Anolis sagrei: one gene and its partners. The protein of the gene in region 1 binds, or shares a complex with, the protein of each later gene. Links are inferred from orthologs where the notes say so. Each region holds a gene or a part of one and is shown on either strand. Other genes may lie near its edges.

What was found.
Region 2: MCM5 (region 1) and GINS1 share a complex: the UniProt entries of both Homo sapiens proteins name them as parts of the CMG helicase complex. The link is inferred for Anolis sagrei from reciprocal best matches to the Homo sapiens genes MCM5 and GINS1.
Region 3: MCM5 (region 1) and GINS4 share a complex: the UniProt entries of both Homo sapiens proteins name them as parts of the CMG helicase complex. The link is inferred for Anolis sagrei from reciprocal best matches to the Homo sapiens genes MCM5 and GINS4.

What each region holds. Positions count from the first base shown.
Region 1 is NC_090025.1:167,316,774-167,328,058, reverse strand, and holds the start of MCM5 (DNA replication licensing factor MCM5), read left to right. Parts: upstream 1-6,123; 5' UTR 6,124-6,232; intron 6,233-7,766; 5' UTR 7,767-7,777; coding exon 7,778-7,941; intron 7,942-8,832; coding exon 8,833-8,959; intron 8,960-10,038; coding exon 10,039-10,167; intron 10,168-11,285. UniProt on the Homo sapiens protein: Acts as a component of the MCM2-7 complex (MCM complex) which is the replicative helicase essential for 'once per cell cycle' DNA replication initiation and elongation in eukaryotic cells.
Region 2 is NC_090021.1:21,809,047-21,819,573, forward strand, and holds the start of GINS1 (DNA replication complex GINS protein PSF1), read left to right. Parts: upstream 1-6,410; 5' UTR 6,411-6,505; coding exon 6,506-6,580; intron 6,581-9,957; coding exon 9,958-10,022; intron 10,023-10,527. UniProt on the Homo sapiens protein: Required for correct functioning of the GINS complex, a complex that plays an essential role in the initiation of DNA replication, and progression of DNA replication forks.
Region 3 is NC_090027.1:4,068,589-4,080,109, forward strand, and holds the start of GINS4 (DNA replication complex GINS protein SLD5), read left to right. Parts: upstream 1-6,868; 5' UTR 6,869-6,915; coding exon 6,916-7,005; intron 7,006-7,599; coding exon 7,600-7,686; intron 7,687-10,258; coding exon 10,259-10,372; intron 10,373-11,032; coding exon 11,033-11,130; intron 11,131-11,521. UniProt on the Homo sapiens protein: Required for correct functioning of the GINS complex, a complex that plays an essential role in the initiation of DNA replication, and progression of DNA replication forks.

The DNA of each region.
Region 1 (11,285 bases):
TATGCTTCGAAGCCCCAACTTGGATGACCTAGGCTTAGCTGTTCTTGTTTTACTAACAATACAGAAGATGCAAATGGTTTGAAAATTGAAACATTAGTGGGGAGAACATTTCTGCAAAGATCCTGAAATGTCACAGTATGGCACGCCTTTAAACAAAGGGAAGAACCACAAAGATCAAGCACTTTCTCTCTTAGATCTCTGAGAAATCAATGTTGTTGCAGTTACTCTGTCCAGTGTTTGTTTTTGTATTATTTTCCGATGTTGTATGGCCTACATGTACCCGTCCTGGAAAACAAGACTTTGCTTAAACAAGTTTTATACTATGTTTCTATTTTTGAAACATATTTATACCTCAGCAATGAACTAGTGAATGAACCATTTCCTACTATATTTGTAATCTGTCTTTATATGTTATATATTGAACCATTAAAATTTCTTTTGAGTTGACTGAAGTGATTTTTTTCTTTATTGTTCACTGTATGAACTTATTCCAGTTGGTAGCTCAGCCCCAAAAACTAATTTTCCACCATGTGGAAGCCTATTTCATTGTTTGTTGCCTCTGTTTCTATATTCGGTAGGTACATGCAATCAGATAAATTCAATGTCAATCCTAGCTAGAGTAGACCCACTGAAATCAATGCAACTTTGACTGGTATTATCAAGTCATGTTCATTTTAATATAAGACAGGAGGAGAATTCAAATTGACCTTAACAGATTAGAGAGATAGACCAAAACCAACAATATGAAGCTCAACAGTGACAAATGCAAGATACTCCACTTAGGCAGAAAAAATTAAATGCAAAGATAAAGAATGGAGGATGCCTGTCTCAATAGCAGCATGTGTGAAAAAAGATCTTGGAGTCCTTGTGGACAAGTTAAACATGAGCGAACAATGTCATGCGGCAGCTTAAAAAGCCAATGGCATTTTGGCCTACATAAATAGGAGTATAGTGTCTAGATCCAGGGAAGTCATGCTGCCCCTCTATTCTTCCTTGGTCAGACCACACCTGGAATCACACTGTGTCCAATTCTGGACACCACAATTGAAGGGAGATGTAGCGAATGTGGCCAGAGAATGGCGACTAAAATGATTGAGCCCTATGAGGAGCAGCTTAAAGAGCTGGGGTATGTTAAGCCTGCAGAAGAGAAGGCTGAAAGGAGACATTATAGCCATGTGAGGGGAAGTCATAGGGAGGAGGGAGCAAACTTGTTTTCTGCTGCCCTGGAGACTAGGATGCAAAATAATGGCTTCAAACTACAGGAAAGGAGATTCCCCCGAACATGAGGAAAAACTTCCTGACATTGAGAGCTGTTCAGCAGTGGAACTCTCTGCCCTGGAGTGTGGTAGGGGCTCCTTCTTTGGAGGCTTTCAAACAGAGGCTGGATGGCCATCTGTTGGGGGTGCTTTGAATGTGATTTTCCTGCTTCTTGGCAGAGGGCTGGACTGGATGGTCCATGAGGTCTCTTCCAATTCTATGGTTCTATATCTACTCCAGTTGGAAACAAATCCCTGGAAAGCTAGGATGGAACAGGTATACTAGGGAAAAGATGCCATGTTGGTTGCTTCACAAACCACCTGTGATCTTTAAAGAAATCGGTTTGGTAAATAAAAGCCTAAACATCCTAAAGGCATTAGATGCCATCTGAGCTTAGAATCTGGGCAGGACTAGTCTTGGTTAGTACTTGGGTGGGAGGCCCCAAAGCATACCTGGTGTTATAGGCTACATTCAGAGGGAAGAACTGGCAGAAACACATTTCTCAACAGCACCAGCAACAACAAGGTGGCTATTATATGCTGCCACAAAGTAACAAAACAGTATCTTTGAGTTTTTTTTATAAAAAATGTATGTTGAAACTCAAGTAGTTGCTGAAGTTAAAAAGTGACAACTCATGGTAACTTTTCCTAAAGAGAGACGCAAACAAGGCAACACACAACTGAATTCTTGCATCATTATAAAGTAACTGTATAGCCTTGGAGAAAAACTTAGGGTGTATCTAAACCTGGCATGGACAAACTTCGGCCCTCTGGGTGTTTTGGTCTTCAACTCCCACAATCCCTAAAGTAATTTCACTTTCTCCTGGATGCTATCAAACTTCAATATTTACTGTGAACCCCAACATACACACATTGCAGGTGGTTCTATGTCTCATATCAATTCTAGCCTGGCAATTCCTTCCCACATGTCTTTGAGTCAACTCTTATGTTAACCAGGCCCTTCTTTAGAGTGAGAACATAGCTCCACCTGTGGGCACAATGGTAACATTACATGAACTGCACAAGATTACAATTACCTCTTATTTCCATGGCACTTTTGAATGGTCTAAGAGTTTCATGCATATAATCCAGGCATGGACAAACTTTCTAGCTTGGGGGCCACGTAGCAGGCCAGAGGGGAGTGGGTGGGCTGGGAGGTAGGAGATTCTCCCCAAGTCCCCTCCCTGCCCTTTCCCCCCTTCCTCTTCTCTTTCAGAAGCAGAAAGTGGAGAAAAGACAGGAAACATTTGGATCCCAGGAGGAAATGGTGGATGAGAGAGAAAAAGTATATCCATTAGATAAATGGTTCTCAATCTGTAGGTCCCCAGATGTTTTGGCCTTCAACTCCCAGAAACAGCTGATAAATTAGCTAGGATTTCTGGGAGTTGAAGTCCCAAACACCTGGGGACCCACAGATTGAGAACCACTGCATTAGACCCTGTATTGCAGTGGTTCTCAACCTGGGGTCCCCAGATGTTTTTGGCCTACACCTCCCAGAAATTCCAACCAGTTTACCAGCTGTTAGGATTTCTGGGAGTTGAAGGCCACAAACATCTGGGGACCCCAGGTTGAGAACCACTGCTGTATTGCTTTCTCTTGATATGTAATCCTAGAGCTGGAAGAGACCCCCAAGGGCCAGCGTGTCCAACCCTCTGCTATGGAGGAAGGCACACTCAAAGCACTCCTGATAGACAGCCTCTGTGGAAAAGCCTCCAGAGAAGGAGACTCCACCACACTTCAAGGACGCCTATGCCACACTCCAACAGTTTTTACTCTCAGGAAGTTCTTTCTAAACTTTTCAGTCGAATCTCTTTCCCTACCATTTGAAACCATTGCTCCCTTGTGCCCTGGTCTCTAGAGCCACAGAAAGAGCTTTCTCCATTGTGGCCCCCTGGCTTTGGAACTTGCTACCTAGTGAGATTAGGCAAGCCCCTATGCAAGCAGCTCTTCTGATGTGCCTTTGACGAATGAACACAAACCCCCCATTTCTGTCCCAATTACAGATTCATCCTCATGATGCACTTTTTCCCATCCTTATGGGAGGGGGAAAGAGGGGGTAAATAAAGAAGGGAAGTCTTACAAATGAACTTAAATTCAATTGACTACTATTGATATAATATTCAGAAGTTCTACTTTTGAAACTGGAAAGCACTTCGCTAGACATACGAACTAGTGTCGTACGGTCCAATTGTGACCTTATAAAGTGAATATTATTTCATGTTATTTATGCAATATTTTATATTAATTCCTGTATTTATTCAGTATTTTAATTTCAGCAATGCCAAATGATATATATTGGAAAATTAGCAATTTGGTGTGACTCTTAATTTATTGCTTGCTTGAATGGTTGTTAAAAATAAAATTTAATTTTCAGCAAAATAAAATAAAGAAGGGAAGGAAGGAAGGAGAGAAGGAAGGATAGGATGGTGAGAGAGAGGAGGGGCTGAGAACAGCCCAAGGGCCCTGGGTTTGCCCATCTATATAAATAAAAATGTAATGTTAGTTCGTGGGATTAACAGAACTCGAAAACCAGTGGGCCAATTGACACCAAATTTGGACAGCATACACCTAACATCCCAATGTATGTTCTTCACTCAAAGAAATTGATGTTGTCATTTGGGAGTTGTAGTTGCTGGGATTTATAGTACACCTACAATCAAAGAGCATTCTGAACTCCGCCAATTATGGAATTGAACCAAACATGGCATACAGGACTCCCATGACCAACAGAAAACACTAGAAGGGTTTGGTGGGTGTTGACCTTGAGTTTGGGAGTTATTTGTCGTGTCAGGACAACCAGTCAAATTATATTACATTTCTAACAGAACAAAGCAAACAAACAGACAAAATGCAAAATTTGTGAGTTTGGGAGTTGTAGTTCACCTACATCCAGAGAGCTCTGTGGATTCAAACAATGATGGATCTGGACCAAACTTGGCACAAATATTCCATATGCCCAAATATGAACACAGATGAAGTTTGGAGGAAATAGACCTTGACATTTGGGATTGGTAGTTACTGGGATTTTCAATTCATCTACAATCAGAGCATTCTGAGCCCCACCAACGACAGAATTGGGGCAAACTTCCCACACAGAACCCCCATGACCACAGAAAATACTTAAGGCCATCCAGTCCAACTCCCTTCACCAGGACAAGAAAATGTAATCAAAGCCCTCCTGACAAAGAGCCTTCCAGCCATGGATATAGATAGAATCATAGAATCATAGAATCAAAGAGTTGGAAAAGACCTCATGGGCCATCCAGTCCACCCCGCTGCCAAGAAGCAGGAATATTGCATTCAAATCACCCCTGACAGATGGCCATCCAGCCTGTTTAAAAGCTTCTAAAGCAGGAGCCTCCACCACACTCCGGGGCAGTGAGTTCCACTGCTGAACGGCTCTCACAGTCAGGAAGTTCTTCCTCGTGTTCAGATGGAATCTCCTCTCTTGTAGTTTGAAGCCATTGTTCTGCGTCCTAGTCTCCAAGGAAGCAGAAAACAAGCTTGCTCCCTCCTCCCTGTGGCTTCCTCTCACATATTTGTACATGGCTATCATATCTCCTCTCAGCCTTCTCTTCTTCAGGCTAAACATGCCCAGCTCCTTAAGCCGCTCCTCATAGGGCTTGTTCTCCAGACCCTTGATCATTTTAGTCGCCCTCCTCTGGACACATTCCAGCTTGTCTCTCTTCAATTGTGGTGCCCAGAATTGGACACAATATTCCAGGTGTGGTCTAACCAAAGCGGAATAGAGGGGTAGCATTACTTCCCTAGATCTAGACACTACGATAGATATATATGATTCATGCACAGAAAGATATAGTATCATAGATTTGAAAGGAACCCCTAAAGAGCATGCTGCATGTTTCAGGGTAGGCAAACCAGACAATCTTTACATCAACACTGACAAAGAAACAACAAGAAATACTGTTTACTCACAAGCATCAAGAAATTACATATATTAGAAACCAAGACTTTCTCATTTCTTTATTTTCCAGATTACCAGACTGGGCCACAGCAACACGTGGCAGGGGACAGCTAGGACCTGATATAACCTTTCATAGTCGATAATATGATGGATAACCCGGGTGGCCCAGTGGGTTAAAGCGCTGAGCTGCTGAGCTTGTTGATCAAAAGGTTGCAGGTTCGATTCCGGGGAGCGGCGTGAGCTTCCGCTGTCAGCCCTAGCTTCTGCCAACCTAGCAGTTCAAAAACATGCAAATGTGAGTAGATCAATAGGTACTGCTCTGGCGGGAAGGTAACGGTGCTCCATGCAGTCATGCCGGCCACATGACCTTGGAGGTGTCTACGGACAACGCTGGCTCTTCGTCTTAGAAATGGAGATGAGCACCACACCCCAGAGTCAGACATGACTGGACTTAATGTCAGGGGACTACCTTTACCTTTACCTTAATATGATGAAACAATGACTTTCCTATGGCCTTCTTGGCTCATATTAGAAACAACACCTTTACTTCAGTGGACACAAACTTGCTTCATGCACAAAACTATTTTGAGTATTTTATGATATTTTTAACATTGGCTGTGTGTCTGACAGCTAACTTCCCATTGCCAATAAGAAGATACAGCTGAACATGCCTTTAGCTCCTCCCACTTCCGCCTACAGCCTCCATCTTAAGCCTCTTCTTAAGTTCTGTGCGAGAGGCTTTCTGGCGCTAAAATAAAGTTCCAGGAAAAGTCAGGCGAAGCAAGGGCGGGCTCTTCTTTCTGCCTCCTCCAATCGGATTGAAAATATGGAAATCCAAGCACAGAAAGGGCGGGGTTCGGCAAATTTTAGCAAAGCCAATCGCGCATGGCTGAATTCTTTGTAACCAATGGGAGCAGTCGGCGTGCGACCGTCAGAAGGCGGGGCGAAGTGTTTTCCCGCGAAAATCTCTCTCCGCCTTCTCCTTTTTTGCTCGGCACTGAAGAAAGGTCTGCTTAAGTGGAAAATAGAAATTCCAAAGGAAAAGGAAAAGGTTGGTGCAGTAACTAGTCTTTGCTGGGAGTTAGACGAGGAATAGTCCTTTTTCCTTGTCTTTGTAACTAGTTTTTGACAACTATTCACTTCCTAATGAAGTTTCTAATTATCTAACCTAACTAATTACTGAAGTGCTATAGAGCCGGGCTAAAGATGGCTTCTTGAGCTGAGTTTCCAGCCTTGAGGATATTTCCCCTCATCCAGTGTTTACCAAACTTTGGTGCGCCACCAGTTTTGGACTTTAAACTCCTATAATTCCCAAACAGCTTAGACAAAGACAGGATTTATGGGAGATGAAGTCCAAAACATCAGGAAATCCAGTCTGGGAAACACTGTCCTGGGATCCATCGGCAGTAGAATAATGTAGTTTGACATCACTTTTAATTGCCATGGCTCAATGTTATGTCATTCTGGGAGTTGTAGTTTAGTATTTATTTCTTTTATTTATTTACTAGCTGTCCCCTGCCACGCGTTGCTGTGGCCCAGTCTGTGTATATGTGTTTTGTGTGTGCATATATGTGTATGTATTTGGTTTTTGCGTGCATAGTAATGCATTTTTATTTGTTTTGGCTTTTGAAGTCTCTTCTGCTGTATTTTTTAGTGTTTTTATGAGTGATGGTCACTCGTTGGCCTGAAAGGTGTGTTGTGTCCAAATTTGGTGTCAATTCGCCCAGTGGTTTTTGAGTTATGTTAATCCCACAAACGAACATTACATTTTTATTTCTATAGATTTGCCATACTTGTACCCCGCCCTGGTTTGTAGGAAATGATATGTTCTGACAGGTAGCTTGGGCCAGAACTGTTTAGGACTTTATAGGCCAAAGCCAGCACTTTGAATTGTGCTCGGTAGCAAACTGGGAGCCAGTGAAGGTGACACAACATGGGGTTGTGTGCTCCCTGAGTGCCGCTCGAGTGAGCAACCTGGCTGCTGCTCGCTAGACCAGTTGAAGCTTCCAAACACTCTTCAAAGGCAACACCACATAGAGTGTGTTGCAGTAATCTATACGGGATGTAAACAGAGCATGTACTCTTTGGAAGAGAAGGCTAGAGACCTAATAAAACTACAGCTCCCAAGATTCCAAAGTACTGAACGATGGCAGTTAAAGTAGTGTCAAACTGCATTAATTCTGCAGTGTAGATGCACTTTAAGAAAAACAAGCCTTCATTTAACTGGAGGGAAGGGGAAAGGACATCCTAAGTAAAAGAAGAGAAAATTGATTTATGCAGAGTTTGCATAGCACTAGCTTTCTACATGTTGAGATGCACTTTAAACATTTAGACTTTCTACTTCATCACACTAGAGAATGAATCCACTTTAAATCCAGTTTCTGCCTCCTTCATAATTATGGGCTTTGTAGTTTAGGGAGGAGCCTTTAACAGCCTCACTTAAACTACAAGCCCCAGAATTCTGCAGGAGGCAGAAACCGGATGTAAAGCATATTCATTGTGATGAGGTCCTTTGTCCTGGATGATGGTTATATATATTTCTGCATCCTTTCAGATCCTTTCTTTATCTCTGTTTTTCCCTGCAGAGTGAGACGCCATGTCTGGCTTTGATGATCCCGGCATTTTCTACAGCGACAGCTTTGGTGACACAGGGGGAGATGAGGGCCAGATCCGGAAGTCCCAGTTGCAGAAGCGTTTCAAAGAGTTCTTGAGACAGTATCGGGTTGGAACAGACCGCACTGGCTTCAATTTCAAATACAGGTGCCCTTTCCTCCCAAATAAAATCACTTTTCTTGCTACACTTCATAGTTGATTGGCCTTGATAGCAGTATGTTTGAAATAGATCTTGGAGTCCTCGTGGACAACAAGTTAAACACAAGCCAACAATGCCATGGAGCAGCTTAAAAAACCAATGGAATTTTGGCCTGCATAAATAGGCGCATAGCGTCTAGATCCTCGGAAGTCGGCTTACCCCTCTATTCTGCCTTGGTAAGATCACACCTGGAATACTGTGTCCAATTCTGGACACCACAATTAAAGGGAGATATTGACAAGCTGGCATGCGTCCAAAGGAGGGTGACTAAACGATCAAGGGTCTGGAGAACAAGCCGTATGAGGAGCGGCTTAAAGAGCTGGGCATGTTTAGCCTGCAGAAGTGAAGGCTGAGATGAGACATGATGAAGGCCATGTATAAATATGTGAGGAGAAGTCATAGGGGGGAGGGAGCAAGCCTGTTTTCTGCTGCCCTGGAGACTAGGATGGAGAACAATGGCTTTAAACCAGAGGAAAGTAGATTCCACCTGAACATGAGGAAGAACTTCCTAACTGTGAGAGCTCTCTGCCCCGGAGTGTGGTGGAGACTCCTTCTTTGGAGGCTTTTAAACAGAGGCTAGATGGCTGTCTGTCGGGGCTCCTTTGAATGTGATTTTCCTGCTTCTTGGCAGGGGGTTGGACTGGATGGCCTGCAAGGTCCCTTCCATCTCTATAATTATATAAATATAAATGTACTGCTAGTTGGGATTAAATATGGCTGTGTTAGTGTAATTTATCTTTCTTGGTAAAAGTGCTCTAACAAGTGTGTTCTTGACTGTAAGCTGCTTGTTTTCAGTCTCACATGCCCTCACTACTCCTGCTGTTCTCACTCTGTCTTAGAGATGAACTCAAACGGCATTACAATCTGGGCCAGTACTGGATTGAAGTGGAGATGGAAGACTTGGCAAGCTTTGATGAAGACCTAGCAGACTATCTGTACAAGCAGCCTGCAGAACACCTCCAGTTGGTATGTGTGGGATGGGATGAGAAATGCTGCCTGAAAGAGAGATATTGTGGTCAAAGTGCCATTCAAATGACACATTCAGGACCCAGTGCTGTTTTTGAGGCCCTTGATCTTCCATATTACTTAAACCGAATCCCTTCCTGAGCAATTCATTTATGAAGCTGTAGTAGCCTCTGCACTGTGTAATATCCATTTTTCAATACCAGCAATAGGTTGCTGCCTCATTTGGTTTTGTTTTCCTTTTATTTGGAGAACATGTGTGATAGTTCTTCTGGCTCCAGGAGAGTCCCAGGGAAAGAACATTGCCCACTAGCCATAGCTGCAGTTAGATCTGCTTCAATATTAGTGTTTGCATGTAGAGCCTTCAACCTGGTGTCCTGTATGCTCTTCCAAAATCTTGCTTTTCATTCTTCCAATCCCAGTCTAGTGTTCTATTTGTTTCTTTTAAACTATCGTTAATCACCTGTAACTGTTGAATCTTTGAGATATAGGGTTAGATGTATTTCATTTTGGTTTAAAAAAATATTACTAACCTAGTGGCAATTTTAGAGATTAACAAGCTAGATGTTAAGTCTTTTAAGATGCCATTACACCAGTAGTTCTTAGCATTTTCCCTTCAGATGTTTCAAACTTCAGTTCCCAGAGTGTTCTGCAAGTTGATCGTGTAAACAAAGGTTTCTGGGAATTATGATCAAGACCATCTGGAGAATGAAATGTTGAGCGCTACTTCACTGATGCTGTATTTGCCCAATGACAGATTAGCATAGTTCACACATGTGGAAAGTAAAAGGTTTTGATGTTTCCACATACTTCACGAGTGACTTGAACATGCCTCTAAACCAGAATTTCTCAAACTGTGTTCCTCCAGATGTTATGGACATAAGCTCCCACCATTCCTAACAGCTGGTAAACTAGCTGGGATTTCTGGGAGCTGAAGTGCAAAACACCTGGAGGAGCACAGTTTGAGAAACACTGCTTGAAACTCTTAATTTCTGATGGTTACTCAGCCACTGAAGTTTGTTATTAGATGAAATAATGATCACTGTCCTCCATTGTCCAAACTGCTGTCATTCTTTTTCCAGCTAGAAGAAGCAGCAAAGGAGGTAGCAGATGAAGTAACACGTCCTCGTCCGGTGGGAGAAGAGGATCTTCAAGAGGTTCAGGTTATGCTGAGATCTGATGCCAATCCATCCAACATCCGCAGCCTCAAGGTGAGCTTGGTTCTGCTTTGGGGGGAACTGTGGGTCCCAGCCACAAATGGGGTCTCCTTAGCTCAGTGTTGAGGTCCTGAAAAATTTGACAACAGTAAAAGCTTTAGATGTTAACATGACTCTGTTGTGTAGTGTTTACAGTAGACTCTACAGAAGATGTTCAGGTGTAATTAAAAAAAAGTACTATCAGCCTGTTTAGCAAGCCTTGTAAATGCTGATTTATTGTCAGTAAATTAATTAATTAATAAGACCATTAGCCCTGGCCTTGTCTTACTCAACTTGTGAGTATTCCTGCCCTGTTTAGCACAAGTCTGTCCACACAAAACAGGTGACTATAGTACTGAACTAAACATGTAGAATAATTGCAAGATGTCTCAAACCCACATCTTGCATTGCCCCCGATATGCAACAGAAAGTTGCTGCTAACTGTGAGAGAAATAAGGTTGAACACTATGAAAGCCATCCACTGCATGGCTATCAGCCTCCTCTCTGTAGACTCAAATCAAGGAAAAGCTTCATGAGAACCACCACTCCTCTTAACGTTCCCCCAGCAACAACAACAGTATCCCTCTGGGAAGCAAAATCAGGCAATTCCAACTGGATGGCCCCCCACAATAAATAAATCAGTAAATGTTTGATTCCCCCCCCCCCCCCCTATTTTGTATACCAAAATATCTGGAGTTATGTAAAAAATTCTCAGGCCAAAAGGGGTTGCGAGTGGAAAATTTTAAGGAGCCCTGGTCTACATTAAGACCCTCATAGTCATGTAACCTGTATCTCTGGGTTCACATACCCATGTCTAGGTGACAAATAGTCTCTTAAAGATTTCCCAGGTCCTCCAGGCAATTATATGGCATAATTTGCCTGAACGTTATCATAGAGTTCTAGCAGGACTTAGTAAATTCATAGAAAGGATAGTACTGGGCATGAAAATCTATCCTAAAACATCTTCATTTTGATTTCTTTTATGAACTGGAACCTTGTGCTTCCAGAACAGATTTTGATCAGTACTGAGGCAGAGAAGTGGGAATTTGTGAATCTTGCATTTGCTTTGAATGTTTTGTGTTTCAATGCGCATCCGCTTCCTTTATGGCCTCACCCTCGCTGTGGTTTCCTCC
Region 2 (10,527 bases), on another chromosome or scaffold:
TCAAATCCGATACTCTGGCTTTTATATAGCAGTGTAGAATGGGCCTCATTTTGATCAGTGTCCCTCCCTGCCCTTGGGGCTTATAAAAGAAATAAATGAGTTCAAAACTGGAAGAATAACAATTCTAAAGTTGTTGTTTATTCATTTAGTTGCTTCCAATTCTTTGTGACCTCATGGACCAGCCCATGCCAGAGCTCCCTGTCGGCCGTCACCACCCCAGCTCCTTCAGAGTCATGCCAGTCACTTCAAGGATACCATCCATCCATCTTTCCCTTGGTCGGCCCCTCCTCCTTTTGCCTTCCATTTTCCCCGGCATAATTGTCTTCTCTAAGCTTTCCAGTCTTCTCATGATGTGGCCAAAGTACTTCATCTTTGCTTCTAATATCCTTTCTTCCAGTGAGCAGTCCTGGAGTATGGACTGGTTGGATCCAAGGAACTCTCAAAATTTTCCTCCAGCACCACAGTTCAAAAGCATCTATCTTCCTTCACTCAGCCTTCCTTATGGTCCAGCTCTTGCATCTACTACGTTGAATACCATTGCTTTAACTATGCAAATCTTCGTTGCCAGTGTGATGTCTCTACTCTTCATTATTTGAGATTGGACATTGCTCTCTTCCCAAGAAGTAAACATCTTCTGATTTCCTGGCTGTAGTCTGTGTCTGCAGTAAATTTTGCACCTAGAAATACAAAGTCTAAAGTATAATTAATTATTTTAATTCTAGGCTGACATGCATAAGAATATAGCCACAGGATTCAAAGAACGTAGCCAAGGGTTGGAATGAGGATGAGAAAACAGTGAAAGGAGAGGTGAGATATATCCCTGGTAGGAAAAGGTGGCACCACATTACGAAATGCCCATGATAATATTATTCTCTTCACTGCAGCCTACTTTCCCTTTGTCCCTAATAAAACAGTCCACATTTTAAAATTAGATTTGCCAGGTCCACCCTGTATCTGAAAATGACTAAGGCTACAGATGTTTAGTACTTTGTACCAGGAAGTAATATTGCAGGGGAAAATGTTAACAGGTTGCTATGTGTCTGTAGCTGAATCAATGGTGGAAAGAGGTGTTCAGGAATCAATTCCACCTGATATCAGAAGAAATGGGATTTTAAAATTATATTAATACTAGCTTGGGGACCCGGCGCTGCCCGGGTTATTTGAGAAAGAAATTGTGTATCAAGGTTGGTCTTTATCAGTTATTTATATGGCTCGCAGTGGTCTCAGGAAGTTAGTGAAGGTACTGCAAGTCCCATCATCTGTGGTCCATCCTCCTCCAAATTGCACCAGAATGGAGAGTGGGTCGTGGGGGCTCTGTGTGCCAAGTTTGGTCTTGATCAGTCATTGGATGAGGGTCACAGCAGTCTCAGAAGTGAGTTAAGGTACTGCAAGTCCCATTATCCATAGTCTTCCTCAAACATCACCAGAATGTTGAGTTGGCCATGGGGGCTCTCTGTGCCAAGTTTGGTCTTTATTGGTATTTGGATGAATGTCACTGTGGCTTCAGGAGGTGAGTGAAGGTACTGCAAGTCCCATCATCCATAGTCTGTTCTCCCCCAAACCTCACCAGAATGTTGAGTTGGCCATGGGGGTTCTGTGTGCCAAGTTTGGTCTTCATCAGTCATTGGATGAGGGTCTCAGTAGTTTCACTAAGTGAGTGAAGGAACTGCAAGTCCCATCGGCCATGGTGCATCATCCTCCAAACCGCACCAGGATGTAGAGTGCATGATGGAGACCCGGTGTGCCAAGTTTGGTCCTTACCGGAAATTGGATGATGGTTGCAGTGGTCTCAGGAATTGAGCAAAGATACTGCAAGTCCCATAATCCATGCTCGATCCACAGTCAAACCACACCATGGCGTAAAGTGGGTCATGAGAGGTCTATGTGCCAAGTTTGATGTTGTTCAGTCATTGTTGAGGGTCGCAGCAGTCTCGGAAAGCGAGTAGAGGTACTTCAAGTCCCATCATCCATGGTATGCCCTACTTCAAATCGCAGTAGGATGTAGAGTGGGTCATGGGGGCTCTGTGTGCCAAGTTTGGTTTTGTTCGGACATTAGATGAGGGTTGCAGCAGTCTTGGGAAGAGAGTGGAGGTACTTGAAGTCCTATCATCCATGGTCTGTCCTCCTCGAAAGTACACCAGTATGTAGAGTGAGTCATGGGGACTCTCTGTGCCAAGTTTGGTCTTGATCAGTCATTGGCAAGGGTCTCAGTGGTCTCAGGAAGTGAGTGAAGTGATTGCAAGTCCCATCATCCATTGTCAAATTCTTCCAAACCGCACCAGGATGTAGAGTGGGTTATGCGGGCTCTCTGTGTAAATTGTGGTCCTGATCCATCATTGTTGGCAGTTGTAATGGTCTTAGGAAGGGAGTGTAGGTATTGCAAGTCCCATCGTCCATGGTGCATCCTCCTCCAAGCCGCACCAGGATGTAGAGTGGGTCATGGAGACTCAGTATGCCAAGTTTGGTCTTTATTGGTAATTGGATGAGGGTTGCAGTGGTCTCAAGAATTGAGCAAAGGTACTGCAAGTCCCATAATCCATGGTCCATCCCCCGCCAAACCACACCAGGACGTAAAGTGGGTCATGAGAGGTCTATGTGCCAAGTTTGGTCCTGATCAGTCATTGGATGAGGTTAACAGCGGTATCCGAATGTGAGTGATGGTACTGCAAGTCCCATCATCCATGGTTCATCCTCCTCCAAACTGCAGTAGGATGTCGAGTGGGTCATGGGGGCTTTGTATGCCAAGTCTGGTCTGTATTGGTAGTGTTCTGACCCAGCCCCCTTTGGCCTTTCCTGTCCTCTCTTTGTCATCTCGGAATCTTGGAATTGAGGCTGGCCAATCAGAGACCATATGCAAATTTCCTTCTCATGTCCCCGTTTCTGTCATGAACTCTTTTCTCCACCAGGGGCTCCTCTTGAAGCTGGCCAATCAGAGACCATATGCAAATAGCACCACAGCGGCAGCCAATCAGAACGCTGGCACATACTCCTCCCGCCACACTTTTGGCGCTGCCCGGGTTATTAGAGAAAGTGGGTAATGGCGGTTCTGTATGCCAAGTTTGGTCTTTATTGGTCATTGGATGACGGTTGCATTGTTTTCAGGAAGTGAGTGAAGGTACTTGAAGTCCCATCATCCATGGTCCACCCTCCTCCAAACAGCAGCAGGATATAGAGTGGGTCATGGGGGCTCTGTGTGCCAACTTTGGTCTTTATCAGTCATTGGGTGAGGGTGGCAGTGGTTTCAGTAAGTGAGTGAAGGTACTGCAAGTCCCATCATCCAAAGTCCATCCTCCTTCAAACTGCTGCAGGATGCAGAGTGGGTCATGGGGGCTCTGTGTGCTAAGTTTGGTCTTTATCGGTCATTGGATTAGGGTCGCAGTGGTTTCAGTAAGTGAGTAAAGGTACTGCAAGTCCCATCATCCATGGTATGCCCTACTCCAAACCGCAGTAGGATGTAGAGTGGGTCATGGGGGCTCTGTGTGCCAAGTTTGGTTTTGTTCGGACATTAGATGAGGGTTGCAGCAGTCTTGGGAAGGGAGTGGAGGTACTTCAAGTCCCATCATCCATGGTCTGTCCTCCTCAAACATGCACCAGGATGTAGAGTGGGTCATGGGGACTCTGTGTGCCAAGTTTGGTCTTGATCCGTCATTGGCAAGGGTCTCAGTGGTCTCAGGAAGTGAGTGAAGTGACTTCAAGTCCCATCATCCATTTCCATATTTTTCCAAACTGCACCAGGATGTACAGTGGGTCATGTGGGCTCTCTGTGCGAATTGTGATCCTGATCCATCACTGTTGGCAGTTGTAATGGTCTCAGGAAGGGAGTGCAGGTATTGCAAGTCCCATCGTCCATGGTGCATCCTCCCCCAAACCGCACCAGGATGTAGAGTGTGTCATGGAGACTCAGTGTGCAAAGTTTGGTCTTTATCGGTAATTGCATGAGGGTTGCAGTGGTCTCAAGAATTGAGCAAAGGTACTGCAAGTCCCATAATCCAAGGTCTATCCCCGACCAAACCACACCAGGATGTAAAGTGGGGCATGAGAGGTCTATGTGCCAAGTTTGGTCCTGATCAGTCATTGGATGAGGTTAACAGCGGTCTCAGAATGTGAGTGATGGTACCCCAAGTCCCATCATCCAAGGTTCATCCTCCTCCAAACTGCAGTAGGATGTAGAGTGGGTCATGGGGGCTCTGTGTGCCAATTTCGGTCTGTATTGGGAGTGTTCTGACCCAGCCCCCTTTGGCCTTTCCTTTCCTCTCTTTGTCATCTCAGAATGTTGGGTTTGAGGCTGGCCAATCAGAGACCATATGCAAATTTCCTTCTCATGTCCCCGTTTCTTCCATGAACTCTTTTCTCCACCAGGGGCTCCTCTTGAAGCTGGCCAATCAGAGACCATATGCAAATAGCACCACAGCGGCAGCCAATCAGAACGCTGGCACATACTCCTCCCGCCACACTTTTGTCCTCCGCATACAAGTTTTGACTTTTATTATATACATAGATTTAAATATTTTTATTTAAATTTAAATATTTTATTAAGAATATTTAAAAGGGGGGAAAAGATGACTGAGGGACTATTCACATTGCAGCATTATAGCATTTTGACAGCACTTTAAGTACCATAGCTATACGGGTTACATCCTGTATAGACTACTGCAATGCTCTCTACGTGGGTTGTCTCTGAAGACTGCCTGGAAGCTACAACTAGTACAACGAGCGGCAGCCAGATTACTAACAGGAGCGGGGTACAGGGAGCATACTACTCCTCTGTTGCGCCAGCTCCACTGGCTGCCAATCAGCTTCCGAGCACAATTCAAAGTGCTGGTGTTGACCTATAAATCCCTAAACGGCTCTGGACCTATTTACCTGTCCGAACGGATTCTCCCCTATGAACCATCAAGGTTGTCAAGATCTTCTGGAGGGGCCCTGCTCTCAGTTCCACTACCTTCGCAATCGCGTTTGGTGGGGACGAGGGACAGGGCCTTTTCGGTGGTGGCCCCTTGGCTTTGGAACTCCCTCCCGATGGAGATTAGGCCCGACGGCGAGAAGAAGGCCTACGTTCGTCTGGCTCCGGATTACGACGTCGTAATCCGGAGCCAGACGAACGTAGGCCTTCTTCTCGCCGTCGGGCCTGATCTCCATCGGGAGGGAGTTCCAAAGGGCCTCTTCCCTCCTGACGTTTAGAAAGCAGGTAAAAACATGGCTTCGGGATACTGCATTCGCAGAATGATGACTGAGTCAATAACTGCTGACCTTTCTGGCGGATGGCGATGAATTTGTGATTCTTTTGGACAAACTGATTTTTGCTGTAATTTGTATGAATTGTATGAAGTGTATTTTAATGTATTTTATATTGGTGACCTATAGTGTTTTTCTTACTGTATTGAATTTTATGTTGTTAGCCGGCCTGAGCCCCTCCCCGAAGGTGAGAAGACCGGGGTATGAAAACTCTAAATAAATAAATAAATAAATAAATAGCTTCAGCCTATGGACTTCTGGGATTTGCAGTTTGTTGTGGCACCAGATTGAACACAGAAGGATAAATCTCCAGCAAAACTAAAAAATCCAAGAATTCTTTAGCTCTGAGCCATGGCAATTAATGTGGCATCAAACTGCAGTGTATGGAAAAGGTGCATCATTATACACTGTAGAATTGATGCAGTTTGACACCGCTTTAACTGCCATGGCTCAGGTTTGTAGAATCCTGGGAGTTGTCGCTTTACAAGGCCGTTAGACTTCTCTGCCAAAGAGGATTGGTGCCTCAACAAACTACAAATCCCATAGAATCATAGAATCAAAGAGTTGGAAGAGACCTCATGGGCCATCCAGTCCAACCCCCTGCCAAGAAGCAGGAATATTGCATTCAAATCACCCGTGACAGATGGCCATCCAGCCTCTGTATAAAAGCTTCCAAAGAAGGAGCCTCCACCACACTCCGGGGCAGAGAGTTCCACTGCTGAACGGCTCTCACAGTCAGGAAGGTCTTCCTCATGTTCAGATGGAATCTCCTCTCTTGTAGTTTGAAGCCATTGTTCCATTGCGTCCTAGTCTCCAGGGAAGCAGAAAACAAGCTTGCTCCCTCCTCCCTGTGGCTTCCTCTCACATATTTATACATGGCCATCATATCCCCTCTCAGCCTTCTCTTCTTCAGGCTAAACATGCCCAGCTCCTTAAGCCGCTCCTCATAGGGCTTGTTCTCCAGACCCTTTGTCATTTTAGTGATTGCATTGGAGTTATAAAAGTGGTGTCAAGCTGCATCCTGCAATGCAGGTGGCATGCCAAGAGTTGCAGGAGCATAAGGAATTTAAAAGCGCGATACACGCTCGTTTGTCCCTTCTCCTCTCCCGTACGAGAGGATGTTTGTCCCCGCCTCTTCTCAACTTTCTTGCGTTGCTATTGGCTGAGCGGCTTCGAGGCGCGGGTTTCACTTAGTTCTCCTCTGGCGGTCGACGGGTGAGGGCCTCTGGCGCTGAGAGGCTTCTTTTGGGCCCGGTTTTGGGAGAAAACCATGTTCTGCGAGAAAGCCACCGAGCTCATCCGGGAGCTCCACCGCGCCAGCGACGGGCAGCTGCCTTCCTACAACGTGAGCCTGTTTAAAATTTGGTTCTGCCCTCCCAAGTGTTTTGGACTTCAACTCCCAGAATTCCTGCTCATTGGCCAAGGCAGCGGAGTCTTCTGGGAGTTGGAGTCCAAAACACACTTGTGGCTCTGCTGCTTGGGAATAGATTCCTATCATTATCTAAAGCCGCAAGAGAATATAACCATGGCTATTTCTAAAGGTAGACAATATGGAAGTAGGGCCACATATAGTCTTAGTGTATTTTGAAGTATCATAGAACAGAAGCTTGAGAAAGGGAAGTTTCATAAATTTAGGATGCATGTATACTAGGCCTGGGCAAACTTGGGCCCTCCCAAGTGTTTTGGACTTCAACTCCCAGAATTCCTAACAGCCTTTTAAACACCTTTAAAGTGATGTCACTGTGCATTGTAGAACAACAACAACAATAATAATATTTATACCCTGCCATCATCTCACCCAACAGCTTACATGGGGCCAAGTCCGAACGACAAATTACAATACAAAAAATACAAAATTACAGTAAAATAAACAACAAAACAACATTAAAGTAAACAACATCAAAGCATATAAACAATATACATAGAACATAAAAACCAAACATAAAGACAAAGAGATCTCCTGTACATAAAAAGAGGCCTCCTGTACATAAAATGATTTGAAAACTCCTGGTGAGATAAAGGGGTAAAACTAATTGTATGGAGAACTCATAGAGAGACGGGATAATAAACCTACATAACAAGAATGCTGAGGGAGTAATAGCATGAAGTTTTGTGAACTACTCTCCAAAGGTGCAACGGCAGAGCCAGGTCTTGAGACTCTTTTTAAAGGTTTCTAAAGAAGGAGCTTTCCTAATCTCTCCGGGCAATGAGTTCCAGAGTCGGAGGGCCACAGAGGAGAAGGCTGTCTCCCTTGTACCCACAAAGCGAGTCTGAGAGACTGGCAAGGGTGAGAAGAGGGCCTTGCCTGAAGATTGAAGAGTTCGGGCACCACTTTAGCTACCATGGTTCAATAATAATAATAATAATAATAATAATAATAATAATAATAAGCTTTATTTATATCTCACCCCATCTCCCCAAGGGGACTTGGAGTGGCTTACAAAAATGTGACCAATGCAAACAATAAACAGTAATATAACAAGTAACCAATTTGCCAGGAGTCTACCAGATACCATGCAGCTGTGCAGGAGTCTACCGTATATTGTGCAGCTGTAGACAAGTCTACATAGGGACCACCAAATGCATCAGCATTGCCCAAACACGCATCAAGGAACATGAAAGGCACTGCAGACTACTTCAACCATAGAAGTCAGTCATAGCAGAGCACTTGATGAACCAACCTGGACACAGCATATTATTTGAGAACACAGAAATGCTGGACCACTCTCACAACCACCATGTCAGACTACACAGAGAAGCCACTGAAATCCACAAGCATGTGGGCAATTTCAACAGAAAGGAAGAAACCATGAAAATGAACAAAATCTGGCTACCAGTACTAAAAAACTCTAAAATTATAACATTAAAAAAACCCCTCAAACACAGGGAAACTCCAGCCTGGAAACAATCAGAACACCTGGTCACTTCTCGACAAGGAAATTTCCCAGTGACACCTAAAAACTGTCAGGCCATCAAATGCTGATCAAGGTGGCCAATCAAAACATTCACACCTAGCTCCAACAGACAAGAGTTCTTTCTCTCACCCTGGACCTTCCACAGATGTATAAACCCAATTTTCCAGTTTCCTGCAAACGTCACAACCTCTGAGGATGTATGCCCCATATGCAGGCGAAATGTCAGGAGAGAATGCTTTTAGAACATGGCCATACAACCCAAAAAACCTACAACAATGCAGTGATTCCGGCCATGAAAGCCTTCGACAATACATTAAACAAATTTAAAATTCAGTCTACAAAATAACAACACAAAATCGATGTTAAAGTGAAACAAAAGTGAAAAAAGAGGACAAAGATGTGACAATAAACTTATTAACAGTAGCAAGACTGCTTATAGCATGGAATTGGAAAAGGGAAAGATAAGGTATAAGTGTAAGTATAAGAAGGTATGGAAATTGTCAATAAATGACAATCTGGCGTGTAAATTAAAAGTTAAAAGAGGGATTTGGAAACAAAGTGATTTTGGTTATGTATGAAGAGCATTTATTGAAAAAGGATTCAAAAGAAAGACAAAGGGGGAAATGAAATTTTGGATGGAAGCTGTGGCTTGGGGGGAGGGGAACATGGTGGTGAGAGATGAAAAATATGTATAAACGTAAAAATAACAGTAGATGCCAAAGAGTTAATGTAGTGTAAATTGTTCTGAATATAATGTGTCTTCTGTAAAACGAATGATGTATAAACACTGTATTGAAATATGATAAAATAAATAAAAACATCTATTAAAAAGCGAAACAAAACATTAAATTGACACAAAACTATCATCCACAAATAAAAAATTACGTTATATAAAAACAGTTTAAAACATCCACTGCTCTGGTTGATAAAAACAATCAATGCTATGGAATGATGAGATTTGTAGTTTGGTAAGGCACCAACACTTTTTTTTTTTTTTGGAAAAGAAAGCTAAAGACCTTATGAAACTACAACTCTCATGATTCCATTGCATTGAGCCATGGCAGTTGAAAGCAATAATAGTAATAATACTTTATTTTTAACCATCCTTCTCTCCCCAAGGGGACTCAGGGCAGCCTCCAAAGTAAAAATGGCAAACATGCAATGGCAGTACAAAACATAATAGACAATTAAAAGTAAATCAGTGAAAAAATATAATATAAAAATAGGATCAGACTGTGTGAATTCTACAATATAAATATATCCTACATTTATGGAACTTTTATTTCCCGGGCCTCTGTTCTATGATACTTCAAAAGACACTAAGAATATACGTGGCCTTACTTCCATGTACAGGCAGTTCCTGAGTTACAAACAAATGAATTACAAACAACTTCTAGTTAAGAACGGGGCTGAGACAACACAGAGTGAGAGGAAATCTACCCCTTGGAAAGGAAATCCACTCCTGAAAGATTTATCAAGGAGTAAAGGTGTCTCTGCTGAAGCTTTATCCACAACAAGCCTTCCCCCCCCTCCCCCCCCAAAATCCAATGATCACAGAGACAGAAAGTTAGGTGAAATCTTCTGAATAGAGGCACAGATAGCACTGGAATTTTTTTCAAGGAGTGGCGATTTTAATGAGTATGGAGGACAATGTGTATTCAGGTATAAACTTAGCCTATGGCCTCCTTTTCACAGTGAATAGATATTTGAAAGGAAATGAAGCTTGAATTTTAATTAATTGAAGTCTTTGTAAGCACTATATACTATTTGAAATACTTGTTGAAGCTGGTGCTGTTTTAAATTTCAGGAGGATGGAATTAGACAAGTTCTTGAGGAGATGAAAGCATTATATGAACAGAACCAAAGTGATGTGTAAGTTCTTTCAGTAAAACAAATAATACATCTAAATAATAAATATTGTAGCTCTTCATGCAGTCAGTTGTTCCACAAGCCCTCAAGGTCTTCTGTTTTGGTTTGATGTGTGAGGAACTAATCAACCATAGTCCAATGAGTGAAATCAAAGCCTGTGTGTCAGTTGCACATCCGTGGGGCCCTACAGTGGTGCGTATTTATACTATCCTACAAGTGTATAGGATCTTGCCCTGACAGCTCACTGCGTAGCTAAAACTTTAAGAATAGCTAATGCTGAAGAATAGGAAAGATTTTATTTGGGAAAAACAACATTTGTTCCATTAAGATAAAAACTGAAAAGAAAATAGCATATAGTCTTCACATATTTAATTTTAAAAGAATGTAATATAGAATGTTTTCATACAACATTCATAACATAGGTTTGCGGCAAGCTTTCCGGGCTGTATGGCCATGTTCCAGAAGTATTATCTCCTGGTGAAACGTCAGAAGCATTCCAGATGTTTCA
Region 3 (11,521 bases), on another chromosome or scaffold:
ACTTTATTACTGTTGCAACTCAGGGTAGTTTTCACCTTGCTCCCAAACACCACCACACCAAAGCTGTAGATTTGGTGGGCATTGACCTTGAATTCATCTACATCCAGAGAGCACTGTGGACTCAAACATTGATGGATCTGGACCAAACTCTACATGAATACTCAATATGCCCAAATGTGAACACTGGTGGAGTTTGGGGGAAATAGAACCTTGACATTTGGGAATTGTAGTTGCTGGGATTTATAGTTCACCTACAATCAAAAGAACATTCTAAACCCCACCAACGATAGAATTGGGCCATTGTTTGATTCCATAGTGATCTCTGGATGTAGGGGAACTACAATTCCAAAAACAAAGAACACTGCCCACCAAACTCTTCCAGTATTTTCTGTTGGTCATGGGAGAACTGTGTGCCAAGTTTGGTTCAATTCCATCGTTGGTGGAGTTCAGAATGCTCTTTGATTGTAGGTGAAAAATCCCAGCAACTACAACTCCCAAATAACAAAATCAATTTTTTGAGTGAAGGACATACATTGGGTTGTTAGGTATCTTGTGTCCAAATTTGGTGTCAATCCGCCCAGTGCTTTTTGAGTTCTGTTAATCCCACAAACGAACATTACATATTTATTTATATAGATAGATAAGATATACACTAGGCCTGGGCGGTTTCGTTCATTAATTTTGTAATTCATTAAATATTCGTTATTTTTAGCAATTACAAAACGATTACAAAACATATTTTCAAACCCGGAAGTGTTTTTTAATATCGAAATGGCATCCTCCATCTTTTTTACGGGCTTCCGCCCATTTCAAAAATGACGTTTTTAGGGATGGAGGATGCTGGGTGTGCCGGGAGCCAATCCTGCGCTCCCAAGCACCGTGGCTGATTGTGATTGGGCGGGCTGCCCTTTAAAAGCGGCTCCGCGTGGCCGCATTGCTCATTGCTGGGGAAGGCGAGGAGACGGGAGGTTCGGGAGGGAGGCTTGGCTTGCATTCATTCATTGCTTGCATTCATTCATTCCCTGGGCTGGGAGCAGCGGGGAGGCTTTGCCGTTCGCTCCACAACAGGGCAAGCATTTTTAAATATTTCTGAAAAATATCTTTCTTTTATTCTTCAAAAAATTCAAAAAATATTCTAAAAAAAGAAAAGACCCTTGTGTGCCTGTGTGTGTGAGTTTGTCCCTGTCCTGTGGCTGTGTTCTCTCCACAACAAGCATTGTTAATTTTCCATTTTTAAATATTTCTGAAAAATATCTTTCTTTTATTCTTCAAAAAATTCAAAAAATATTCTAAAAAAAGAAAAGACCCTTGTGTGCCTGTGTGTGTGAGTTTGTCCCTGTCCTGTGGCTGTGTTCGCTCCACAACAAGCATTGTTAATTTTCCATTTTTAAATATTTCTGAAAAATATCTTTCTTTTATTCTTCAAAAAATTCAAAAAATATTCTAAAAAAAGAAAAGACCCTTGTGTGCCTGTGTGTGAGAGTTTGTCCCTGTCCTGTGGATGTGTTCGCTCCACAACAGGGCAAGCATTGTTAATTTTCCATTTTTAAATATTTCTGATAAATATTTCTTTTTCAACGAATCGATTCGTTGCCACCTTAACGAATCGACCCCCGTTTTCATAACGAAGTTTCAGAGGTGATTTGCGCATGCGTGGGGGGTCCGCCATCTTAACGAATCGATTCGTAAATATTAACGAAATTTCGTAAATACTGAACTTTTTTAAAGGAAAGTTTTGTAATTATTTTAAATATCGAAACGCAAAAAAACCCCAAATACAAATCGATTTTAGAAACAAATTTTTGCGTTGTTACCCAGGCCTAATATACACCAGTATTGTTGTTGCTGTTGTTCATTCGTTTAGTTGCTTCTGACTCTTTGTGACCTGATCGGCCATCACCACCCCCAGCTCCAAGGTCAATCCAGTCACTTCAAGGATGCCGTCCACCCGCCTTGCCCTTGGTCGGCCCCTCTTCCTTTTTCCTTCCATTTTCCCCAGCATCAGGGGGGACTCAGGGCGGCTAACACAGGCAACAATTCAATGCCAACAGTATCAATAACAACAATATAAACCAACAGTATAAAATCCTATTACATAACAATTAAAACAGTGATATTAATTAAAATTACATAATCAGATAGTACAAATGACATCATCACAAGTCACATAGCCGTTCTCAATTTTCATAACAATCCTATTGTCAGTTCAGTGCTGAAAGTGCTGCTGTGCCCACTAGCCAAAGGTCTGGCTCCAAAACCACGTCTTTAGTTTTTTCTTAAAAGTAAGGAGGGAGGACGCTGATCTAATCTTGCTGGGGAGCGAATTCCACAAGCGAGGAGTCACCACCGAGAACGCTTTGTCCCCACCAGACGCGTTTGAGATGCTGGTGGGACCGAGAGCAGGGCCTCCGCCAGGCATGTAGCTGGGGGGGGGGGGGGTTGGGGGGCTTCAGTCCCCCCCCCCCCGAAATTCTGATGGTGGTCCACGAGAAGGCCTTACTGGTGCATTATTTAAATTGTTATGTTTATTCATATCCTGATCTGATCACCATACTCAATATATCCCATATGCATGGGGGGTATTGGGGTAATGATACAAAAGGTTTGCTGGACCCTCTTTCACTCAGACTCAGCCCCCCCGAACCAAACTCAGCCCCCCCCCCCTCAAAACAAAATCCTGGCTACGGGCCTGGCCTCCCCAGTAGATCTTAAATTATGAGGCCTCTTATAATACTATTCTTCCCTCCAAGTATATTATTATATTATAGTATTATATTTTATTATTATTATTCCCTCCAATATATTATTATTGGAGCCCCCGGTGGCGCAGTGGGTTAAAGCACTGAGCTGCTGAGCTTGTTGATCGAAAGGTCGCAGGTTCGATTCCGAGGAGCGGCGTGAGCTTCCGCTGTCAGCCCTAGCTTCTGCCAACCTAGCAGTTCGAAAACATGCAAATGTGAGTAGATCAATTATTATTATTATTATTATTATTATTATTATTAACTTTATTTGTACCCCGCTAGCATCTCCCGAAGGACTCGATGCGGCTTACACGGGCCGAAGCCTCAAAACACAATACAATAGAAAACATAACACAACAATAAACAAAGCAAATCAAACAATTAAGCAAAGTAACCACAATGACAATACATCAATACATCAAGACACTATTAAAACTGGTTCGGCCGGCGCAATGGGGTACAGGGTTAAAAGTGCTGAGATGGCAGGAGGAACGTAGGATTAAAAGTGCGGTGTGCAGCAACATTGGTTGTGCTAAAGTGCTTCTAGGACTTGGGATGGGGATTCCTAATCTGAGAAGGCACATCGGAACAGCCAAGTTTTTAGGTTCCTTCTGAAAACTGCTAGAGTAGGGGCCTGACGAAGCTCTTTTGGAAGGGCATTCCAAAGTCGGGGGGCCGCCACAGAGAAAGCCCTGTCCCGTGTCCCCACCAAGCGCGCTTGCGACGTAGGTGGGATCACGAGCAGGGCCTCCCCAGATGACCGGAGCGAGCGTGTGGGTTCATAAATGGAGATGCGGTACCTAGATCAATAGATACCGCTCCGGCGGGAAGGTAACGGCGCTCCATGCAGTCATGCCGGCCACATGACCTTGGACAGCGCTGGCTCTTCGGCTTAGAAATGGAGATGAGCACCACACCCCAGAGTCAGACATGACTGGACTTAATGTCAGGGGACTACCTTTACCTTTACCTATATTATTATTATTATTAAGAAACTGCAACTCGCTTCTGGTGTGAGAGAATTGGCCGTCTGCAAGGACGTTACCCAAGGGATGTTACCTGGATGTTTGGATGGCGAGCAAGTGGGTGATTCCGTCCATTTTTTTTTGTTGTGTCATCATCATCATCATCATTTAATAACTTATTAATCGCCCTCCATCCGAGAATGCTATGGGCGATTTAGAGCTAAATTACAAAAGATAAAATACATACATACAAAAATTAAAAATCAACAGAGATCGAATGCTCTAGTGAAAAGCCAGGTGTCTGAAGTGCTAGAGTAAAAGGCCCTAAGTCACGCATGGCTCTCATGTAGGGCGGCAAGGAATGCCACAATAAGGCAGGAGGGGCAGAAAGAGAGAAAGCCCACCTGCGCCTGGTCCTTTCCAAGGGCACTTCTCTAGGACCCGGGATATGGAGTAAGTCACGTTGGGATGGTCGTTGCGACCTCCGATGATGGGAGAAGGAGAGGCGGTCCCTAAGGTACGATGGACCCTGGCCGTAAAGAGCTTTAAAGGTCAGAGCTAGCATCTTATATAGACCACGGTAATTGGTTGGAAGCCAATGCAAATGCCGCAACACTGGTGTGATATGGCATTATTTCATGGGCGTTCTTGTGAGTAGCCTGGCTGCCACATTCTGAACAATACGGAGCTTTCGGGTCGTAGACATCAGAAGGCCCACATACAGGGCGTTGCAATAGTCCAGCCTAAATGTGACCGTAGCATGGATGACCATTGCCAGAGCCTCGCCAGATAGGGAGGGTGCCAGTTGCCTCGCTTGTCGTAGATGGAAAAAGGCCTGTTTAGTGGCAGCAGCGACCTGAGCTTCCATTGTCAGCTGTGAATCCAGGATGACACCTAAGCTCTTAAGAGTGGTCGATGGAGAGAGGGCGGCACCATCGAAGGTGGGCAACGGAGGAGTCAGACCTGCCGGGCGGCCATGCCAGGGAATCTCAGTCTTCGCCGGGTTCACCTTCAGTCTGCTAGCACGTAGCCAGTTCGACAGAGCTTCCAGACATCGGGTGAAATTGTCTGGAATTGACGTTGCTCCAGACTCCAGGCGCAGAAGGAGTTGGGTATCGTCTGCATATTGGTAGCAGTCCAGGCCGAAACTCCCAGTCAAGGAGTGACTTGAGAAACTGCAAGTCGCTTCTGGTGTGAGAGAATTGGCCATCTGCAAGGACTTTACCCAAGGGATGTTACCTGGATGTTTGGATGGCCAGCAAGTAGGTAATTCCTTCCAATTTTTTTTGTCATGTCAGGAGTGACTTGAGAAACTGCAAGTCGCTTCTGTTGTGAGAGAATTGGCCGTCTGCAAGGACGTTGCCCAGGGGATGCCCGGATGAATTGATGTTTTTATCATCCTTGTGGGAGGCTTCTTTCATGTCCCCGTATGAGGAGCTGGAGCTGATAGAGGGAGCTCATCCGCCTCTCCCCGGATTCAAACCTGTGACCTGTTGGTCTTCAGTCCTGCCGGCACAGGGGTTTAACCCACTGTGCCACCAGGGGCTCCTTTCCTTTAAGTAAGGAGGGAGGATGCCAATCTAATCTCGCTGGGGAGCAAATTCCACAAGCAGAGGGTCACCACCGAGAAGGCCCTGTCCCTCGTCCCCACCAGATGCGTTTGAGACGCTGGTGGGACCGAGAGCAGGGCCTCCCCAGTAGATCTTAAATTATGAGGCCTCTTATAATAAGGAGGCTGTCCAGGTCCTGAACCGGTCCCTGGCCGCTGTGACGGTCTGGATGAGGGCGAACAAATTGAAATTGAATCCAGACAAGACAGAGGTACTCCTGGTCAGTCACAAGGCCGAACAGGGCATAGGGTTACAGCCTGTGTTGGATGGGGCCGCACTCCCCCTGAAGACGCAGGTTCCCAGCTTGGGTGTGACCCTGGACTCATCACTGAGCCTGGAACCCCAGGTTTCGGCGGTGACCAGGGGAGCATTTGCACAGCTAAAGCTTGTGCGCCAGCTGCGCCCATACCTTGGGAAGTCTGACTTGGCCACGGTAGTCCACGCTCTGGTTACATCCCGTTTAGACTACTGCAACGCTCTCTACGTGGGGTTGCCTTTGAAGACAGCTCGGAAGCTCCAACTAGTCCAACGCTCGGCAGCCATGATTTTAACAGGAGCGGAGTGCAGGGAGCATACAACCCCCCTGTTGCGCCAACTCCACTGGCTACCGATCTGCTACCGGGCTGAATTCAAAGTGCTGGCGTTGGCCTTGAAAGCCCCAAACGGTTCCGGCCCTAGCTACCTATCTGACCGCATCTCTGCCTATGAACCCACCAGGACTTTGAGATCTTCCGGGGAGACCCTGCTCTCGATCCCGCCTGCTTCTCAAGCTCGGCTGGCGGGGACGAGAGATAGGGCCTTCTCGGTGGTGGCTCCTCGGCTGTGGAACGCCCTTCCTACGGACATTAGACTAGCACCATCTCTAATGGTATTCCGCAAAAAGGTGAAGACCTGGATGTTTGTGCAGGCGTTTGAGTAATTTAGTGCAATCTGGTAATGGAACATAGGAATGGAACAATGGACGACGAATCTGGACTACGCTTGGATGAGGAGAAGATTGGGTACGGTTGTGTTTTGTAATAATTGTGCATTGTAATTGCTTATTGGTAATTTATGGATAATGTGTTAAGTCAATTGTTATATGTTGTATGGAACCACTGCTGTTTCTACTGTTTTTACTGTTTGTGAACCGCTGTGAGTCGCCTTCGGGCTTGAGATACAGCCGTATAGAAGCAAAGTAAGTAAGTAAGTAAATAAATAAATAATAATACTATTCTTCCCTCCAAGTATATTATTATTATTATATTATAGTATTATATTTTATTATTATTATTCTCTCCAGTATATTATTATTATTATTATTATTATTATTATTATTGAGAAACTGCAAGTCGCTTCTGGTGTGAGAGAATTGGCCGTCTGCAAGGACGTTACCCGGATGTTTGGATGGCCAGCAAGTGGGTGATTCCGGCCTTGACATATTTACATTGTCCGGCTCCTTTAAGAATGTGAAGGGGCGGGGCCGAGAGTCATGTTGGCGCGCAATATTCATAAGTAGGCGGGGCCAGTGCCGTTCTTTCTTTCCTCAGCGTCGCTGACGTCAGCACACCTAATTAGAATCCGTGGCGGGAAAGTGTTGGGCTTCCCTTTGGCGCCAACATGGCCGAGGCGGAGGAGGAAGCCGGGCTGGAGTCAGAGGGCGAGGAAGTGGTGCTCACCCCGGCCCAGCTCATCCAACACCTGGAGCAGGTGAGCCCAGGCGGCCCTTGGGGGAACTACAACTCCCAGGACACTTCCCCTTCAATTATGGCAGGCCCAGGACCCCCCTCCTCCAACCCAATCACCTCCCCAAATGTGGCCACTTTATTTGACTGTCTACCATGAGCTTCCTCATCAGTGGGACATGCTGTTTGGGAATACTACAACTCCCAGAATCCCCTCTCCCATCAGCATTTTTTTGAAACACACTGCAACTCCCACAATTCCCCATCCAACTCCCAGAATCCCTCCCATAACTTATTTAGATGGAGTAGAACTCTGTTTGGGAATACTACAACTCCCAGAATCCCCCCCATCAGCAATTTTTTTTGCCATAGATGTAGGAGAAACGTCAGGAGAGAATGCCTCTAGATCATGGGCATATAGCCCGAAAAAACCTACAACAACCCTATATTATGATTGTTGTTATTATTATTTTTGTTTGAATGGAATGCAATTCCCAAAAGCAACCCCTACCCCCAACAGCATGGCTGGTTATTTAGGCACACTACAACTCCCAGAATCCTTCCCACCGGTGTCTCTCATCATCTGGGCCATCTCCAAGGTTTTGCTGTCTCTTTCCAGGCTTGGATGAATGAGAAGTTTTCCCCTGAGCTGCTGGAGAGCAAGTCGGAAATCGTGGAGTGCGTCATTGAGCAGCTGGAGCACATGGTGAGAGAGATGACAAGGTTCATAAAAACACACAGGTGTAAATGGCCAGCTACGTTGCACCATATTATTATCATTATTATTATTATTATTATTATTATTATTATTATTATTACTAGCTGTATCCTGGCCATGTGTTGCTGTGGCCTAGTCTGGTGGAGCAGCTGTTGCAATCTATCCAGGCATATAGGCTTCCTCTTTCGTAAGAACATCTTTCCTGTGTTATTATTATTTACTAAATATAATTATATTTATTCATATATATATATTCATCTCTTAAGTGAGACTATTTCCTATGCAAGTGTGGAGCTGCGGTCCCAATCTATCTGGACAAATAGCCTTCCTTTTTTGTAGCAACGTCCTTCCTGTATTATTATTATTATTATAATTATTATTATTATTTACTAAATGCAATTATATTTCCTTGTATTTATATTCCTCTCTTAAGTGATATTTTTCTCCCATGCAAGTGTGGAGCTGCTGTCCCAATCTATCCGGGCAAATAGCCTTCCTCTTTTGTAGCAACATCCTTCCTGTATTATTATTATTATTATTATTATTATTATTATTTACTCAATTTAATTATATTTCCTTGTATTTATAGGCCTCTCTTAAGTGAGATTTCCTCCTATGCAAGTGTGGAACTGCTGTCCCAATTTATCCAGCAAATAGCCTTCCTCTTCTGTAGGAACGTCCTTCCTGTATTATTATTATTATTATTATTATTATTATTTACTAAATGTAATTCTATTTCCTTGTATTATATTCCTCTCTTAAGTGAGGTTTTCTCCTATGCAAGTGTGGAGCTGCTGTCCCAATCTATCCAGGCAAATAGGGTTCCTCTTTTGTAGCAACGTCCTTCCTGTATTATTATTATTATTATTATTATTATTATTATTATTTACTATATTTAATTATATTTCCTTGTATTTATATTCCTCTCTTAAGTGAGCGTTCTTCCTATGCAAGTGTGGAGCTGCTGTCCCAATCTATCCAGGCAAATAGGGTTCCTCTTTTGTAGCAACGTCCTTCCTGTATTATTATTATTATTATTATTATTATTATTATTATTTACTATATTTAATTATATTTCCTTGTATTTATATTCCTCTCTTAAGTGAGCGTTCTTCCTATGCAAGTGTGGAGCTGCTGTCCCAATCTATCCAGGCAAATAGGGTTCCTCTTTTGTAGCAACGTCCTTCCTGTATTATTATTATTATTATTATTATTATTATTATTATTATTATTTACTATATTTAATTATATTTCCTTGTATTTATATTCCTCTCTTAAGTGAGCGTTCTTCCTATGCAAGTGTGGAGCTGCTGTCCCAATCTATCCAGGCAAATAGCCTTCCTTTTCTGTAGGAACGTCCTTCCTGTATCATTATTATTATTATTATTAGTGGTATTATTTACTCAATTTGATTATATTTCCTTGTATTTATATTCCTCTCCTCAGTGAGATTTTCTCCTATGCAAGTGTGGAGATGCTCTTGCAATCTATCCAGGCAAATAGGCTTCCTCTTTTGTTGCAATGTCCTTTCTGTATTATTATTACTATTATTTACTAAATTTAATTATATTTCCTTGTATTTTTATTCCTCTCTTAAGTGAGATTTTCTCCTATGCAAGTGTGAAGCTGCTGTCCCAATCTCTCCGGGCAAATAGGCTTCCTCTTTTGTAAGAACATCCTTCCTATATTGTTATTATTATTGTTATTATTATTATTATTATTATTATTATTTACTAAACTTAATTATATTTCCTTGTATTTACATTAATCTCTTAAGTGAGATTTCCTCCTATGCAAGTGTGGAGTTGCTGTCCCAATCTATCTGGGCAAATAGCCTTTTTCTTTTGTAGCAATGTCCTTCCTATATTATTATTGTTATTATTATTATTATTTACTAAATTTTTCTTGTATTTATATTCCTCTCTTAAGTGAGATTTTCTCCTATGCAAGTGTGAGATGCTGTCCCAATCTATCCGGGCAAATAGGCTTCCTCTTTTGTAGGAACGTCCTTCCTGTATTATTATTATTATTATTATTATTATTATTTACTAAATGTAATTCTATTTCCTTGTATTATATTCCTCTCTTACGTGAGGTTTTCTCCTATGCAAGTGTGGAGCTGCTATCCCAATCTATCCAGGCAAATAGGGTTCCTCTTTTGTAGCAACGTCCTTGCTGTATTATTATTATTATTATTATTATTATTATTATTATTATTATTATACTCAATTTGATTATATTTCCTTGTATTTATATTCCTCTCTTAAGTGAGATTTCCTCCTATGCAAGTGTGAAGCTGCTGTCCCAATCTATCCTGGCAAATAGGGTTCCTCTTTTGTAGCAATGTCCTTCCTGTATTATTGTTATTGTTATTGTTATTATTGTTATTATTTACTCAATTTGATTATATTTCCTTGTATTTATATTCCTCTCCTCAGTGAGATTTCTCCTATGCAAGTGTGGAGCTGCTCTTGCAATCTCTCCGGGCAAATAGTTCTTCCTCCCGGGTCAGGATGTCCTTCCTGCCTTTGCAAAACCCCTTTGCTGTGTGTCTTTGCAGGAGGAGAACCTGAAGCGCACCAAAGGAGGGGACCTGAAGGCCAGCATCCACCGCATGGAAGTGGAGAGGATCCGCTACGTCCTCAGCAGCTATCTGCGCAGTCGGATCCGAAAGGTCTTTCCGTCATGTATTTCCTTCGTTGCCGTCCTTTGTCTCTAGGCCATCTTTCTGCCCTCATATGGATGCCTTTGTGGTTCTGTATCATATCTATATCAGTGTTGTTGGGCAAGTGGGCTTATTAGCAAAAGACCCTCCTCATAAATGCGGAGCAGAGTGATCTGTCGTATCAGAGTCACCTCTGACTTTAAACACCACACGAGCTGGGAAAAATCAGCAAGCAGTTTATTGAGAATATAAAAATCGAAAACATGCAAATGTGAGTAGATCAATAGGTACCCCTCCAGTGGAAAGGTAACTGCGCTCCATGCAGTCATGCCAGCCACATGACCTTGGAGGAGTCTATGGACAATGCCGGCTCTTCGGCTTAGAAATGGCGACGAGCACCAGAGTTATTATAGAACCCTAAACTGGAAGAGACCCCAAAGGCCATCCAGGGGCTACCCTCTGCTATGTGGGAACACACAATCAAAGCACTCCTGAGAGATAGCCATCATCCTCTGCTTAAAATTCCACCATCCCATTGTTTAGTGAACGGTCACTTTGGAAATGTGGATACTCCTAACGTCTGTGTTGATGCACCCAGTGCTCTTCGCTCTTCTTCCCCCTTCACCCGATGATGCCTCGCCCTTCTTCTCCTCTTTATTTTCTCTTTAGATTGAGAAATATTTCCCGCACGTCCTGGAAAAAGAGAAGACCCGGACGGAGGGAGAGCCTTCCATCCTCTCTCCAGAAGAGTTTGCTTTCGCCAAAGAGTGAGTGAATGGAGACTCGTTCGTTTTGATCAGCGTTTCTCAACCTGTGCTTCAAGACCCCTGGGGTCCTCCGCTCTGATTGGCCAGCCTCTCAGCCAAGAGGGGGGGGGGGCTGTTTCTGAGAATCCAAGCCGGGGGGGGGGGTGAGCAATCATGCTCGGCGCATGGTAGCGTGGTACACATGTGTGGGCGAGGGAGAGCAGGCGAGGTTGGAGGGAGGCTCACATCAGCTGGGGCATTCTGTGTGGGAAATTTGGTCCAATTCTATCATCGGTGGGGTTCAGAATAGTTTGATTGTAGGTGAACTATAAATCCCAGCAACTACAACTCCCAAATGTCAAGGTTTATTTTCCCCAAACTGCGCCAGTGTTCACACTTGGGCATACTGAGT